Linked DNA regions of Struthio camelus. The protein of the gene in region 1 interacts with the protein of each later gene in a pairwise test. Links are inferred from orthologs where the notes say so. Each region holds a gene or a part of one and is shown on either strand. Other genes may lie near its edges.

The links. The genes of interacting proteins can lie anywhere in the genome.
Region 2: the proteins of STX1A (region 1) and SEC22B interact in binary tests that used the Homo sapiens proteins (3 or more experiments, as listed by UniProt). The link is inferred for Struthio camelus from reciprocal best matches to the Homo sapiens genes STX1A and SEC22B.

What each region holds. Positions count from the first base shown.
Region 1 is NC_090957.1:9,028,235-9,035,732, forward strand, and holds the start of STX1A (syntaxin-1A), read right to left. Parts: upstream 3,039-7,498; 5' UTR 2,974-3,038; coding exon 2,944-2,973; intron 1-2,943. UniProt on the Homo sapiens protein: Plays an essential role in hormone and neurotransmitter calcium-dependent exocytosis and endocytosis.
Region 2 is NC_090949.1:9,408,301-9,415,765, forward strand, and holds the start of SEC22B (vesicle-trafficking protein SEC22b), read right to left. Parts: upstream 3,006-7,465; 5' UTR 2,916-3,005; coding exon 2,760-2,915; intron 2,542-2,759; coding exon 2,432-2,541; intron 1-2,431. Other genes in the region: PACS2 (phosphofurin acidic cluster sorting protein 2), read left to right, coding at 3,373-3,500. UniProt on the Homo sapiens protein: SNARE involved in targeting and fusion of ER-derived transport vesicles with the Golgi complex as well as Golgi-derived retrograde transport vesicles with the ER.

The DNA of each region.
Region 1 (7,498 bases):
CCCAGGAGATCTGAACTGTTGTACCTGGGAGCCCTGGCACAGACCCTGCAGGATGCACACAGGGGTACGGCCTTTCCCCAGCACACACCCAGCAGCCACCCCACTGCTGCAGACATGCGAGACGCGATGCTGGCAAGGAGGGAGCCCCAGGAAGCGAGATGCAAGAAAGCCTCTTTGCTGAGCAGAACGCCACCCCACTCCCAGGCTTTATTCATCATTACACACTAAGCTACAGAAATTTCACTGAATAAGGAACATCAGCAGAATAGAAGCTAAAGCACTTTTTTTTTTTTTTAAAAAAAAAAAAACATATTTAAAGACACGGAGAGATTTTAAAATACCCTAGCAGTATCACTTCTCAGCCAGCACTGGCTGCCAACAGGACATTCATGGGACTGCTTTTTACTATTATTATTAAAAAAGCCTATTTTCTGATTTTATTTCAGTCTGCACTGTACAGGAGAAGACTTGCTTGTCTTGGGTGCTTTCCAATTACTTTGGCTGAACAGAACGGGTGCATTTTTTTCTTTATATAGTCCCTTCCTCCTCAAGCATATATACCCACGCCCTGCTTCCCCATGCTGACGTCACAGAAATACGAAAGAGCTCCACATTTCTGACTTCTTCCAGACTAAGACATCCAAGTGGAGTCTCTAGAGACTTGCCTGGCCTCAACACCAGAAGTTCTCCCAACTATTCAGCTTACCTTTTCCTTTATTTTTCAACCACTCCCCTCCCTTCTTGCAAGTTATATCCTCCCTTCAGATGGTAGAGCAGCAGAGATTGCACAACAGATCCTCTCCCCACTTGAAACCCACCTCCTCTCCCCAACATGCTCTCTCCTTCCCTTCACTCTGGTCCCTGTGTGCCAGAGACAGCTAATCAGACCCAGTGATGAAGTAACAAAAAATAAAACAAACAAACAAAATAAAGAGTTATAATCTAATTCATTCCTTCTTAAAGCAGGATTTGAATTTAAGACACTGCGCACAGCCTGGATCTTCCAGACTTCACCATGATCTCTGGGAGACATAAAGCTACCCTTCTCTTGGGACACTAATACTGGCTGGAGTTTTATCCAGCGTGCAAGGTGCAGCTCCTCTAAAGATGCTAAATACCTATTGGCCTTAACAAAAAAAGGTGTTGCATAGTATACAACCCAAAGTAGAAAAGCTGAGAACAGTTATTTTTAGGAGTACCATGAAGTGCCAGGTTAACACTCAGTTGACCTCAATGTAGCTGTTTACATCACTTTGTTATTGTTTGAAACCACCTTCAAACACAGGCATATCTGGCATCATTCATTCACTTAGCTCTTCTTTCAAAGGTTACTCCAGGAGCAAGGAAAGTTGGAGAACATCTTTTCTACAGGAACTGCTGAGATTCTGCAGCGTTCGGCTGCAGCCTCACAGAACGCACAAGGCTCACATACCAGAAGACAGAAGAGAAAGAGCATAACACAGGAGCAGCAGCACCAGTGAGGCTTTGGCTGCAGGTGTGCAATGGCTGGGCAAAAAACAAGAGTGCAACAGCGTCTGTGTTACACACCAGTGAGACTGCACCTAAAACGCTATGCAGTTCTGGGCTCTTCCTTAGCCAGATGACATCAGCAGATTGAAAAGAATGAAAAAGCAAAATGGGCGAGCACCAGAGAAACCAACCTGGGAAGAAAACTACAGGCTGAAATCAGGCAGCCAGGGCTAGCCCTGCTGTCTAACGAAGCCACAGGAAAAGACCCTTTCCCTGCTCTGCTAGCACACTCTTGCCCTCATGACATCCCCATATATAAAGGCTCTTCCATACAAACTAGCCTAGATGAAAAATATATATAATATATATATATATATATTATAAAATTTTATATATATATATATATATATATATATATATATATATATATATATATGGGGTTTTTTTTAAGGCTGGGTTAGTTTTCAGCTAGATCAGTCCCTGAAGCAGTTCATCACGTGGCTGCACAAGCAGGGGCTGGACCAGAGGAAGAGAGATGATGTCCTTCAGTGGCAGCACCAGCTGAAAGCATTCAGCACCCTGCTGCCTTACACAGCTATGCGTACAGCAACTCTAACTAAAAAAAAGAAAAGAAAACAAAAGCATCAAGAGACAGATGCCCAAAAAGAAAAAAAAACCCACAAACACACAAACAGCAATCAAGGGGAGAAAGGAGAAGAGGTACAAGGTGTTTACATTGGAAAAAGCCTTGCTGTCTAGACCACTCGTGACTGCATCAGTATACAATGACCTAACGAATCAGCTTATGCTCCTTTTCCCATTTCTGTGCTCAGGGTACCTCGTCCTGCTTGGGGGAAACACCTCTCCCCGAGATCGACTGTTCCTCATCCCCTCTCCCGGCAGGGGGTTTCCAAGCGCGAATGCTCCCCACGCAGCAGATGCACGCACGTCCGTGCAAAGCCCGTGGGCAGCGCCGACGCCAGGCGGCACCGGGCGCGCTAGCGAGGCGCAGGGCCGCGTTCGCGCGAGCTCCCGCGTCCACGGGCCTCGCGCGGCAGGCGAGCGCCTCGCACCCGGCTGGGCCCGAGTCCTGCGCGGGGGTGGGCACGGCAGGGGCCCCGCGGGCACCGAGGAGGCCCCGGTCGCGCTCCGCGGGGTCCCAGGGCCCCCGGACGGATTCCCCGATACCGCTGCGGGGGGAAGCTGGTCGCCGGGCCGGGGGCGATGCAAGAGCGGGTCGCCCCCGCCGAGCCGGGCGATCCCGCGGCAGGTGCCGCGGCGCCCTACGGGCAGGGCCGCGGGCCGGGACCGGCTGGGCGCGCCGGCACCGCCCCCGCCGGGGCTGCCCAGCCCCTGGGCCGCCACCACCCGGGACCCCCACGGAGCCCCCAGGGCAGCGGGACGACCTGGGGGGCGGCGGCCGCCGCCGCCCGCCCTACCGGGGCCGCAGCCCCGCGCCGCCGCGGTACTCACAGCGCGCAACTCCCCGGTCCGGTCCTTCATGCTGCCTGCCCGCTCGGCGCCGCCGCTCTCCGGCCGCCGCGCTGGGAGGGGCGGGACGGCACATGCGCCGCAGCCGGGCGGGGGGGGCGCGGCCCCGCGGGCCGCTGGGAACGGCCGCGCCGGGGGGCGCGTGGGGCGCGTGGGGCGCGTGGTCGGGGCTGGGGGGGGGGGTCGCACCTGGGGGGGGTATTAAGGAGGGAGGTCACATCTAGGAGGTTTACGCCTGGGGGGGGGGGGTCGCACCTGGGGATCACCCCTGAGAATAACATCTGGGGAATCGCCTCTGGGGGAAATAAGCCGGGGATCACACTCAGGGCTCAGCTGGGCTCACGCCTGGGGCTCACATCTGGGGGCTCGCCTCGGGCCACACGGCAGGGCAGCCCCGACGAGGGTGCTCACACGGGGGGGCCCAGCACAGAGGCAGCACCCAGTCCTGGGGCTCCAGCAGACAGCATGGTTTGGGGGCTCCCCTGCGGGGCTTCGCCAAACCCCCCACCCAGAGATGGGGCAGGAGGGGCAGTGGCATGGTCTGCTCTGGGGGACCCCAGGCTCCTCACCAGCCTGTGGGGCTCAAGCAGGTAGTGCAGCATGGCGAGCTGGACACACCCGCAGCCCCCGACCAGCAGCTGCAGCTTTCCCCCATGCTGGAGGTGACAGGGCAGAGAGGGCTCACCAGCCCCCACTAACTCCTCAGCTCCAAGTACCCAGGGCTGCCACGCTGGCATGGCACTGCCTTCGCCCCCAGGTGCCTTTTGGCCCGTGCTGGGCCACCGGCAGCCATAGCCCAGTGCATTCATACAGCTCATGGTTTGCTGTGTAAATAGGTGCTTTCTGGGGGAACTGGCAGTGTCTGGGAGGTGCTTCCCACAGCCCTTTTTTTCCACCTGCCTGCTTAACAGCAGAGGATGGGATCAAAACAAAATGGCTTCTCCCGAACCCCATGCTCCTGGCAGGCCTATCTGCAGGGAGTTCTGCATGCACAACTTGGGAGCTGCCAGAGCCGGAGGGCCCTGGTCCAGTTGCCCAGGAAACACAGGGATTCCCATGGGACCAGAGTGGCACAGGGCCAGCTGGTTCCATCTTCATGCCTCAGGGCCACTGGCCTGAGCTCCAGCTGCCCTTGGATGAGATTGGGATCCTTGGGTTAACCCAGAGGCCCTCCTGCTGGGGTGCACCTCGGTTTCCTCCTTCCAGCAGCCCTTTGCCATGGAGAAACTCAAGAAAAACCAGTGCCAGGCATGACTCTGCACAGGATCAGCCTTTTCATGTCCTGAAACAGCCTGATTTGAGTCAAGCAGAAATTTCCCAGCAGAACTCTGCTTCCTTTTCCCTTGGAAAATGCCTAGTCATCAAACCTCCAACTGTCATGAGAAAAATCTGTTCTCTGTGATCCTTCAGGTTCACACATTTAAAATTCCTGGAACTGTACATATACATTGATGAGACAACCTGAACAAACCCTGCTTTTCTCTTTAAATGATTCTACCAAGAAATCAAAAAGCCTAAATTAAATATTCATAGGACCCGGATTGATTTTAGAGGCTGAAAAAGGCAAGATGCCTTTGGCCTATTGTAGAAAATTGATGTACGAGTATGAAATGAATGTGCACTGGCTGGTTGGTAAATCACAACATATCAGTGTTAATGGAGAGACTGAAATTCAGAGGAAAATCCTGGGAGCCCTTTAGGTACTTTCTTGGCTGGTTGCTACCCAATGCACCCAGCAGGAACATGGCAGCAGAATAGGGTCAGCAGGAGGATGGTGGTAAGCTGGGCTCCACCAGCTACACTCACGTGCCCCCCTCCATCTCAGGACAAAGCCCGAAGCGAGGTGGCCAGGAGATGGCTACTGTGGCTAGAACTCAAGGGGGTAGTGCATGGCCTGGGCTCCTCCTGTGCTGCAGTGCTAGGTCAGCCCCCCGACATGGGGAACTTTGAAGGCAAATCACCACCATTTCCTGATGAGAACAACATTGGATGCTTCATGCAGCAGGTCCTAAACACAGAACCATTTCATGGGTGCTGCTGTAGTGCATCATTACCACCAGGTTTACCCTCTCCACCACACCATCTCCAAACACATCTTTTTCACTAGATAAACTTGGTCCTGAAGAATTTTGACAGTTCCTCCCTGCTGCCCTCTTTCTGGGCTTTCATGCATTGCTCTCCTAAATTTTCCTCCAGTGGCTCAGAGAACCTCAGATCTACCACGTACATCTGCACTTGCCCTGTCCCCAGCACAGCTGCCCTGAGGGTTGATGCTGTGGGTGTCAAGATCTCCTGCTTCAAGGGGCAGCATACAAGGGAATGAGAGGCAGGAACAGCACAGAGCTATGGCAAGGAGAAGTGGCCAGGATGGGAGAAACAGTTCTTAGGACTGCATCTTCACTTACTAGGCAAACTGTTTTCTTGAACTCCTGCTGGCGCAGATCAGGTCACACTTCTGCCTCTAGATCCATTCATACTACTGTGGCCAACAGGCATGAGGTGGCTGCAAGTAAAGAAATGCCTTTTGTTCCTTGTGCTGGCTGCCAGTTCTCTGTTGACAAAGTGTTCATTTAACCTTGATTCTGCTAATAAAATTATCCATATGATGCTTTGCTCAACTTTCAAAGAAGAACAGATTAGGTTTTATTTCTTCAGCTATTTCATTAAACTGTGACTTATCAAAGCTAATGGACAAGATTTGAAAACAGTTGCATATAGTTTCCCCTTTAGCACAGCTTTGTACAAAGCCTTGACTCATCACTCACTAGTAACGCCATGATCCCCTGGGGCAGCCCCCTCGCCCTCTTCCTGGCTGCAGCACTGGTGAAGCCATGGTGGCCAGGCCACAGTGGTGGCCAGGACTGCTGAGGTGGCCAGGCTCTGGCGATGGCCAGGCCACAGTAGTGGGTGGGCAACTGTACTGGCCAGGCTACAGTAGTGGCCAGGCCATGGTGAAGGCCAGGCCATAGCGGTGGCCAGACTGTCATGCTGGCCAGGCCGCAGCAGTGGCCAAACCGTAGTGGTGGCCAAGATATGGCAGTGGCCAGGCCACGGCGGTGGGCAGTGATGCTGTGACGGCTGCGATGGCTGGGTCATCGTGCTGGGCAGGCCATAGCAGTGGCCCCAGGCTGGACTGGTGGCCAAGTAGTCATGACGGCCAGGCCGTGGCAGCGGGCAGGCCGTGGCGGTGGCCTGGCAGCGATAGCCCCCAGCCCAAGCCCTGTGCGGGACAGGCCTCTTCCGCGATTTCTTTGCAGCTGCAGGCGAGCAGGGCATCGCCCGGGCCCGGGGCAGGTCAGCGGCAGCCCCGGGAGGCGGAGAGCTGGCCCGGCGCGGCCCGGCCTGGCAGCCTCGGACGCGCCCTGGCTTCCCCCGCAGCCGAGCGGCAGCGCTGGGGGCGCAGCGCTGCCTGGCGGCGGCGGCGGGGCCGAACCCCAGGGCCGCGGCGGGGCTTCCCGCGGAGCTGCGCGGGCCCGAGCCGGGCGGGAGCCCCCGCAGCCCCTCGCCCGGCCGCGGCTCTGCCTCCCGCCCCCCGCGGCGCCGGGCCCGCTGTAACGCCACTAATACCCACAGCCCTCTCGTGTGCCGGGTCGCGAAAGGCCGTGGAAGAAAACAATTTTCGTCCTCGATGCTGCAAATGCTCCTTCTGTCAGGGCGTGGCTCCCCCGCCAGGAAGGGCCCTGTCCTCCGGGGTGAGCGCCCCGCTCCGCGCTGGCAGCCCTCCCGGAAAGCCAGGCCTGCACGGGAGGAAACGGGGTTAGGATCCCCCCAGCATTTCCCAGTGCACTCAGTACAAACACCCTTTTTGACCCCTTTGGGAACGCCACCATTGCTTAAATAAAATCAACTCAAATCCTCCAGCTCAGTTCCCCACGCTGCAGGGAGCAGAGAACTGCTCTGTCTCCCAGGCAGAACACTGGGGACACTCACCTTGTCACCCCTCCAGCTCTCAAACAAAGCAGAACAAGCGGCTCCTTTGCAACAGCTCCCCACGCCAAGCAGCGTGCAGTCCGGCTGCGGCTGCCAGGGTAAGGTGAGTCAGCCAGGACGCTCCAGACACCCAGTGCAGACAGACACCGAGCGCAAGGGGCAGAGACCCTTCGGCAGAGGGAGAGACTGGCTGCCCTCCGCAGCAGCAAGGGCTAAGACAAATTTTGCATGGTACACAGTATTGTGTTTGTCTTCAAAGGCCATTCTGGGCCTTAGTGAGCAACAGGCAGGACCTACACAGCGCTATGTTAGGAGCAAAGGCTGCACGTGCATGCCAGGGCAGCTGAAACAAGGTGTTCCACCCACTGCGCTGGCTTTTCTCAAAATTAGCTCAACAAAGAGGCTTTTCTTTCAGGTTTTGTCCCTGGCTCTGGCAAGGACACAGGGAAAGCACTCCAGCCCAGCTTCCAGAGCCAGTTGCTGGGTGAGCTCAGAGTGGCAGTCAGGAGGTGCTTTGTTTCTGGCCACCTCCCTTCTGCTGCTACTCTGGGCTGCAAGTAAGCCAGGAGGGTTTTGCCCAGCCTTTGGAGCTGAGGAGTCAAGTTCA
Region 2 (7,465 bases), on another chromosome or scaffold:
ACACGCTAATTTTAGCTGCTAGATTTATTTTATTTTAGACCTTTTTGAAACAGAAAAGCTTAATCCTTATAACTGGTATCAGAGTCAAAGGCCAAGAGTTGTTTTCAACATGACAGGTTAGTAGCGCTTACACCACTAACCAGCCAAAGGTCAACTAATGACTGACAGCACAGCAGTCTACTACACAGGTGCTTCTGCACCTGCATGGCCCTGTGTGCTAAGTACTGTAGCTCAAAGGACAGCACAGCTTTCAGATCTGAAAATCTAAACATTACATTTGAGAGAACTTGCTTCAGCAGTCTTAGTGTGAGCTTCACATTTTGTCAAAAAATGAGACTTTTCTCTGAATTGATCAAGCTAGAAGTGCTCAACATCACTTCAGCAAGTTCAGCAATAGCCTTAGCCGTACTTTTATGTTTTACATCACAAAATGTTTTGTCCTGGGTTATGCTGTCCTCAGCAGCCACAGCTCTAATTTAAAAGTCAGCATTATTTTAGACTAGGTCTCAAACTCCTCCCTCTCTTCTCCTTCATGTAGCGTTATCACAGGAGACATCTTTTTCTGACCTGAAAGTCGTCGTCTTTTCACATAGGTCCTGCCTGAATGTTCTCTCTTAAAAGAGCCATCGCTTGACTGCTTTGCAGCTCTCAGTTGCCTGTGGATTGACTCAATGCAGTAGGGAGACGCTCCTTTCCCCCCTTCCCAGCCAGCTATACAACCTTGTTGTTTCTTGGAGCCTGCTGTCCAAACATGAACCTGCCCAAATTACCCTGGCTCTTCAGACCCGGTGAGGTTAAAGCCACCGGAAGGAGGTTCTGGTTTTCTGGGCAGCACAACCAGAACAGCCTTCCTGGACGTTGTTCTAGTAGCACGGGAAGCAACACAGCAAGGGATTTACTACGAACTACAAAGGCTCTTTCCCCAAAGCCCCCCCAGTCAGAGTGACACCCAGGGACACCAGACACGGTGCAGTGCCAGAGAAACACTTACAAACTGACAGATTTCTAGAAGATGCTGAGCAGCATTTTGCAGTTAACTCTGGGAACAACGTCCAAGCTGCACAAGCAGATAGGAACGGCCAGACTATTTGAATCAGTGCCCCACCTGACCCATTATAGCCCCTATTATCAAGGGCAACCAGAAGCCAGGGGAGGAGGAAAAAAAACCATAATAGTTGAACATATGTAAGTCAACCATAAGAAACATTGGCCCCAAAACCTCATGGTTTTTGCCCAAGAGCTGGCCTATAGCCCTTCCAAAAGCTTCTGTTCTTGTCTTTCCATGTCAATGCATCTCTGAACATTTAAGGGGCAGGGCAGGAGAGCTGTTAAAGGGCCCCCGTGAGAGAATCAGAGCCCTAAAGTCATGCCTTGCCCAGGATTCAAAGGGTGTCTCCCACTCACCCGACCACAAACGTGCCCCTGCTCACCGGGGATGGGGAACTGGGGGAGGCTGGGGAGGCAGCAGAAGTGGTGCTAAGTGTTATGAAGCTTTGCATATCACTGGCAAAAGAAATTTGCACAACTCTGCCTTGCTGATCCCACACGGGCTTGTTTTTATAGCATAATTATTTCTGCTAAGAGCATAATTCTGATTCTTGACAAGATCTTGGCCTTGATTAAATCCTCCAGCAATTTATCTGTTCAGTAATTACATGCCATTGTAAAGAAGCTTTTCATTTTCTCAAATAGGAGCTTGCCTGCTCTTCTTCCTTTCATTGGCTGCAAATTCTTCCTCTTTTACCTTTCATTCACAGTCCCCTTGCTATTCATTAGCAGTTAAGGATGTCTGACCCACCTTTGCTATAAGTTTTCATTATTTTATATTCAAATTCCCTTATTAATGTGTTACTGGGAAAAGCCAAAGATGTTTTTAAGCTACAAGCTTTCAGGTAATTTAGGAGATTAAACATAACCAACACATTTGGCAACAATGTAATCAAATCCATTATTTTTGTGGGGGAGAAAGCTTGTCAGATGTTAAGGAAATTAACAAAATAAAAAAGCCAGAGAAGCTGTATGCGTTTCTACATGTAAAACTAAGGCATGAAAAGGTATACCCTTGTGGGATATGCATAGAGGAGAGTCTTGTGCAGGAAGAGCTCACAGTGGTGGTGCTAGCCTGCTTTCAGCAAGGACTTCTCTTTTTAAGAGGAGAAAGACACTGAAGCCACAGGAAATCCACGAAGGGTAAAAAGCAATATGGGAGGGTGCAAACCCACAGAGAAGGCTTAAGGGAAACACAACCTACATAGTCTACAGCCAAGGCCACAGAATAATAAGAAAGGGGATGAAAAGCGAGTGCCAGGAAACACTGCCAGCGAGGAACAACTTAGACGCTCCCTTCTTAAAGCACCCACACAACGTTGCAGCTGGCAGAGACCCAGCAGCACCTTGGGGCACCTCCCGGCTGGCGCCTCGGGATACTCACTGGAAGGCCATGGCTCCGGCCTCGAGAGTGCACCTCGTGGGGGACTGCTCGTTCAGCTTGCGGAACAGCTGCTTCGCCTGGCTCTGGTACTGCTGCAGGTCGCGGCCTGACTGAGAGGGGAGGGCAGGCGGTTGGCGGCGGCCGCCCGCGGCCCGAGCCGCCCCGCCAGGCCGAGCAGCGGCAGCAGGGCACCGCCGGCGGCACCGCGGCCGCCCCCCACCCCCCAATCCTGCCCCGCCGGGGCCCCAGGCCCAGCCCCCGGCCCGCGCCCCACCGACACACCGCGCCGGGCCCGCCCCCGCCCAGCCGCGGCGCAGCACGCCCGCACCTGCTCGTCCTCCTGCATGGAGGCGGCCAGCGGGAGCCCGTCCGCCACGCGGGCGATCATCGTGAGCAGCACCATCTCCGCGCCCCGCTGCGCGCCGCCGCCGCCGCCGCCGCCCGCCCCTGCCACGGAGATGGACGGAAACCGCCAGCGCAACATCCGGCCCCTCCGCGAGAAGCCGCCCGGGCACTTCCGGCCCCGCGCCAGCACCGCGTCCGGCCGGAAACACGGCCCCGAAGCTGAAGGGCCGCCGCCGCCGGGGGCGGGGCGGGGCGGGGCGGGGCGGGGCCCGCGCTCGGCGCAGCCGGCACCGCCGCACCGGGCGGCTCCTGCGGCGCGGGGCCCCGCCCCTCCAAGCCCCGCCCCTCCGACGAAACCCCGCCTATCACGACCCCGCCCCGCCCAATCCCTGCATTTTAACCACGCCTCCCACAACCCCCCCTCCCCGCTTTAGCCTCGCTTTCCCCAAGATAAGCCCCGCCCCCTGCCGCCCCCTCCCCAAGCCCCGCCCCCTCCCCAAGCCCCGCCCCTTCACGTGACCTCCCCGCCGCGAGGCGGGGCGGGGCGGCGGCGCAGGCGAGCGGCGGCCCGGTGGGCGCGCGCCAGGCCGGCAGCCATGGCGGCGGCGGCGGAGCGGGGCCGCCTCAGCTTCCCAGGCGGCGCCGGGGCCCTGGGGCGGCCCGTGCCTATGAACCTCTTCGCCACCTGGGAGATCGACGGCTCCAGCCCCAGCTGCGTCCCCAGGTACCGGCGGCGGCCGCCCCCCCCCGCCCCTCCCCACGGCGGCGGGCAGAGGAGCCCGTGCCCCGCCGCGAGGCCCGGCGCCTGCCCGCGCCCCCCCCCCCCTCCCTTCAGGCGCGGGGCCGCCCGGCTCCCGTGCTGCCGGTTGCTGCCGGGGTGGGGGGCAGGTCCCCCCCCCCACCCGGGGTTCGGGGCGGGGTGGGGGCGCAGGGCCTGGGTGACCTCCCCCCGCCGTTGCCCCCAGGCAGCCCCGGCGCCTGCCCGGGCGCCGCCGCCCGCGGCCGGTCCCGTTAGAGGCGGCCGTGCCCTGCGGCAGCTGCCCGGCTGCGCATCGGTCCGCTGCGGCCGCTCTGCCGCGTCTCTGGTCAGCGCGGATGCAATTCCTGCTGGGCTTTTCCTTTTTCCTTTTATTTTTATTTTTATTTTTAAAGCCTGTGCGGGAGGGAAAATCCCTGCTAGGTTCTGTAAAATTTGCCCTTATTGTGTCTGGCCGGAACAACCGCGGCTGAGGATTGCAGCGTGCCATGCAGCGCGCCTCTTGTCTCGTGGGGACGCACCAAGCGAACAATAAGGGAACCGAGTCTCCCGGCCGACCTGGCAGTAACGTAAAGCTTATAAAGCCTCTCAAGCCCCCCCTTACCTTTTGTGCCATCTAGGCAGTGGGTTAGACTCGGTGGCCGTGTCCCCTGTCTCGCAGGGCTAACGTTTCGCTCATGGTAACTATCTTGGTTATACATTCCCCAGGGTAACAGTGCTTTGACAACATGGGCAGGAAGATAGCGCGAGGTAGGAGAAAACCCGAGTCCTGCAATTTTGGAGGGTCTTGGTTTATGACAGCTTATCTCTCCTGGCAGCGCCTTGGAGTATCTGTTGTGCAGCAACTTTCTCTGCTTGTCTCTTGTTTAGCCCTTTTTTCTGCTGAGAAACGTGGCCTTGGAAGGGGACTAGCACCAAGCGGCATGGGTCCCTTTTCAAGGAGTCCCTTTGCTGCGGAAGGAGTGCCTTATGGAAGGAGATGGTGGAATAGTTGGCACGCTTTTCATTTTCGCGCTAGCTTTTGGTTCCTGTGAAGTATTCACAGCCTTTCAGGGAAAGCGCATCCACCCATCGGTCCTTGTGGTGTGTAGAGGACATTATAGGCGCTCTGATAACACTACTTTGAAAACTGCTGTCTCCATTGCACCCTGACTTTAGGAACATCGTTGGGTTTCCATCACATCTGACCTTGCAACAGTGCTTATTAAAAGAAAAAACAAATGTCCGTAGCTGTCAAGGACTTTCAGTTCTGCATTATCATTTATGCTGATACTTGCAGATATGAGAACTAGCTCACAACATAGCTTGCTTGTTTGTGAATCTGTATGTGACTGGGACAATGCAGCATAAGGACACTGGCCCTGCCTTGGTGTGTGGTGGGGCGTGGAGGTGGTGGCATCTTGCTTGTTGAAATGTCTTTGGGTCAGGCAGGCAGCAGGTGGCTGGCAGCTGGTTGAGGTGCCTGTAGGAATCTGGGTGATGTGAAGGAAATGTGGATATCTGTGCAGGTGGGGCAGAACTGGAGTTCAAGGAGCAAAGCTTGGAGTCACTGAGGCAAGCTGTGAAGCAGGGGCTGGTGGAAATGGTTGGATTGCAACCCTGTGGCCTGAGGCAGTGGTGGGAGGAGTGGGGCAATTGGGACCTGCTGGGAATGTAGCTCTTAACTAAGAGAGAGTTCAGGCGTGGTGGTGGTGGGTCCCTCTGGTGTCATCCCTCTTACTGCTATCACCTTTGCTTGCTGCTCCTGGATGACCTATTCTCCTGGAGCCCAGGAGGGTAGGCAGACATACAGCTGTCCTGTCCACCACTAGTGATAGGATGACCAGGCCTTACCTCAGGCCAGCTGGATGTGAACTGCTCCACATGGGCTGTGTGGATGCTTTCCCCGTGCATGAGAGTCCTGTGTAAGGTCTGCAATTGTAGCTGTGCATGACAAGCGTTTTGTTAATCTAAAATTAAGTCAGAAGCAGATGAGATGGCCGCTTTCACAGAGATGTTAGTCTGATTGTACGGTAATGTGTGTGCTGTGCTGCACAGGCTGGGCAATCAGTGAATTCTGTAGTAGCAGGGGGCGTGCAAAGTCTGGATGCTAAATTCTGCTGTTTCTAACTATTTAGCACTGTGTCTTGTGATGCTACATAAGGTTGACGCTTTGCATTTTATTAAAGGCTTTGCACAAAAATATGTTGGAGAAGGAAGGAGTTTGAAAACCTCTAGGTTATACTACTGCCGCTGTATTTTAAGTTCATATTGTAATAATTTTTCCTGTGAGACGAGGGTGTTTAAGACGTTAAAGTGAGAGAGATTGGGAAGAAAACTGTTCTCCGGGGGAAACAGTATTCAAAATGAGCATATTGTTCAGGCAGACAGCTACTGGGATGTGAAAGGAGAGCGCAGAGGAGAGCGGGCTTTGCTGTGTGGTCAGGTGGTGTGGAACTGCCTTGGTATCTTCTGAAATTTCCACCAGTTACGAGTTCCCCTCTGAGTCTCTGTTGACAGGACAGGCTCTGTGGTTGATGAGAAGTTTGAACTTGGTGGAAAGTCAGAGGATATGCGGAACAAGGATGCGTGTTTGGGGAGGGAGCGTTGCTTCCTTCCTTTTTTTGTTATGATAAATCTTACTCCATTTCTTATATGGTGAGTTGGAGCAGAAGGACCTGGGTAGAAGCAGTGCCTGGAGCAGGCTGTGGCTGTACTGATACAGTACAGTCCTGGATCTGAGTTACTGTTGTTATTTCTCTTTACCACATGTGTATCTTGGGGAATGTGATGTGTTGTGGGATGTTCGCCTGGACAGAGCTTGCCGGTAAAGAGAGTTAAGGGTAAAGGACTTTTGGTGGGTTGTACTGTGTGGCTGGTAGGAAGCCTTGAATTGTGTGGGTGGGTATATAGATGGAGGTCCTCGTGCAGATGTGGTGTGTGCCGTCCAAATGACGGCTGAGAACTGGACTGTGGGAGGCAGTTCTCTAAAGGGCTGCTTTTCAACAAGGGTCTCCCTGGGGGTTTGATTTATTGAAAGTTCATTCCGCTTGGAGGTCTTCAGTAAAATCTGGAAAGCTCTTTTGGTGCCTCTGCAGAGCTTTCTTGTGTGAAAAGGCTGTGTGTAACCTGTGGAAGAATAATAGTAAAGAGCTATAGCATTATTCTGCAGCAGTGTGCTTTGTATGAACTACAAGCTTAGATGGTGTTTTGCACTGGTGCTCGTCTCCCGTTCTCTTCTGCCCGTTGCAGAAAACATCTAATGCGTCTTTGACATGTTTATTCTTCTGGTGATGGCAACCATGAAAAAAATATCTGGTAGGCAGCTGTTGTATGCAGGTTTTCCAGGGGTGTTAGTGACCGTAACGCCCCAGCCAGGCAGGATGCTCTGTCCAACCATGTGCTGGGCCAGGCGATGTTGCCTTTCTGGGTGGTAACCCCCAGCTAGCTCTGTGCCTTTCCAGATGCCCGAGAGTCATGGGCACAGCTCTTCTTTTGGTGTACAGAAGACTTTCTGACTTCCTTCTTGCGTGTGCGTAGCTCCCAGAGCTTTTTGATAGGAACGTTTCTGAAATGCAAGTCCTTTCTTTTAGTCATCCCAGAAACATGACTCAAACTCTTACTATCTGGGTGTAACTGTTACATACCAGAAGGGAGAGATGCCTACCTTCTTCTCCCCTTTTTCTTGCTTTTGTGCATTGAAATGCTTTCCTTTGTGGAAGGACACATACCTGTGAAAACCAAGAACGATGTCCTCACAGCCTGATTGTAAGAGGATCAAAACTTTTTCCTCAGTTTCTCCACATTGAAAAATAGGATTTATTCCATGTTCGGATTTTTGTTTTGTTTTTCTATATTATTTTTTTTTTCTCTCCAAGCTCTCTCGAAGAAGCTGTGGCAGAACACAGTACTGTCCTGTCTTACAGGGAGCCTCATGAGAAGGTAGCAGTGGG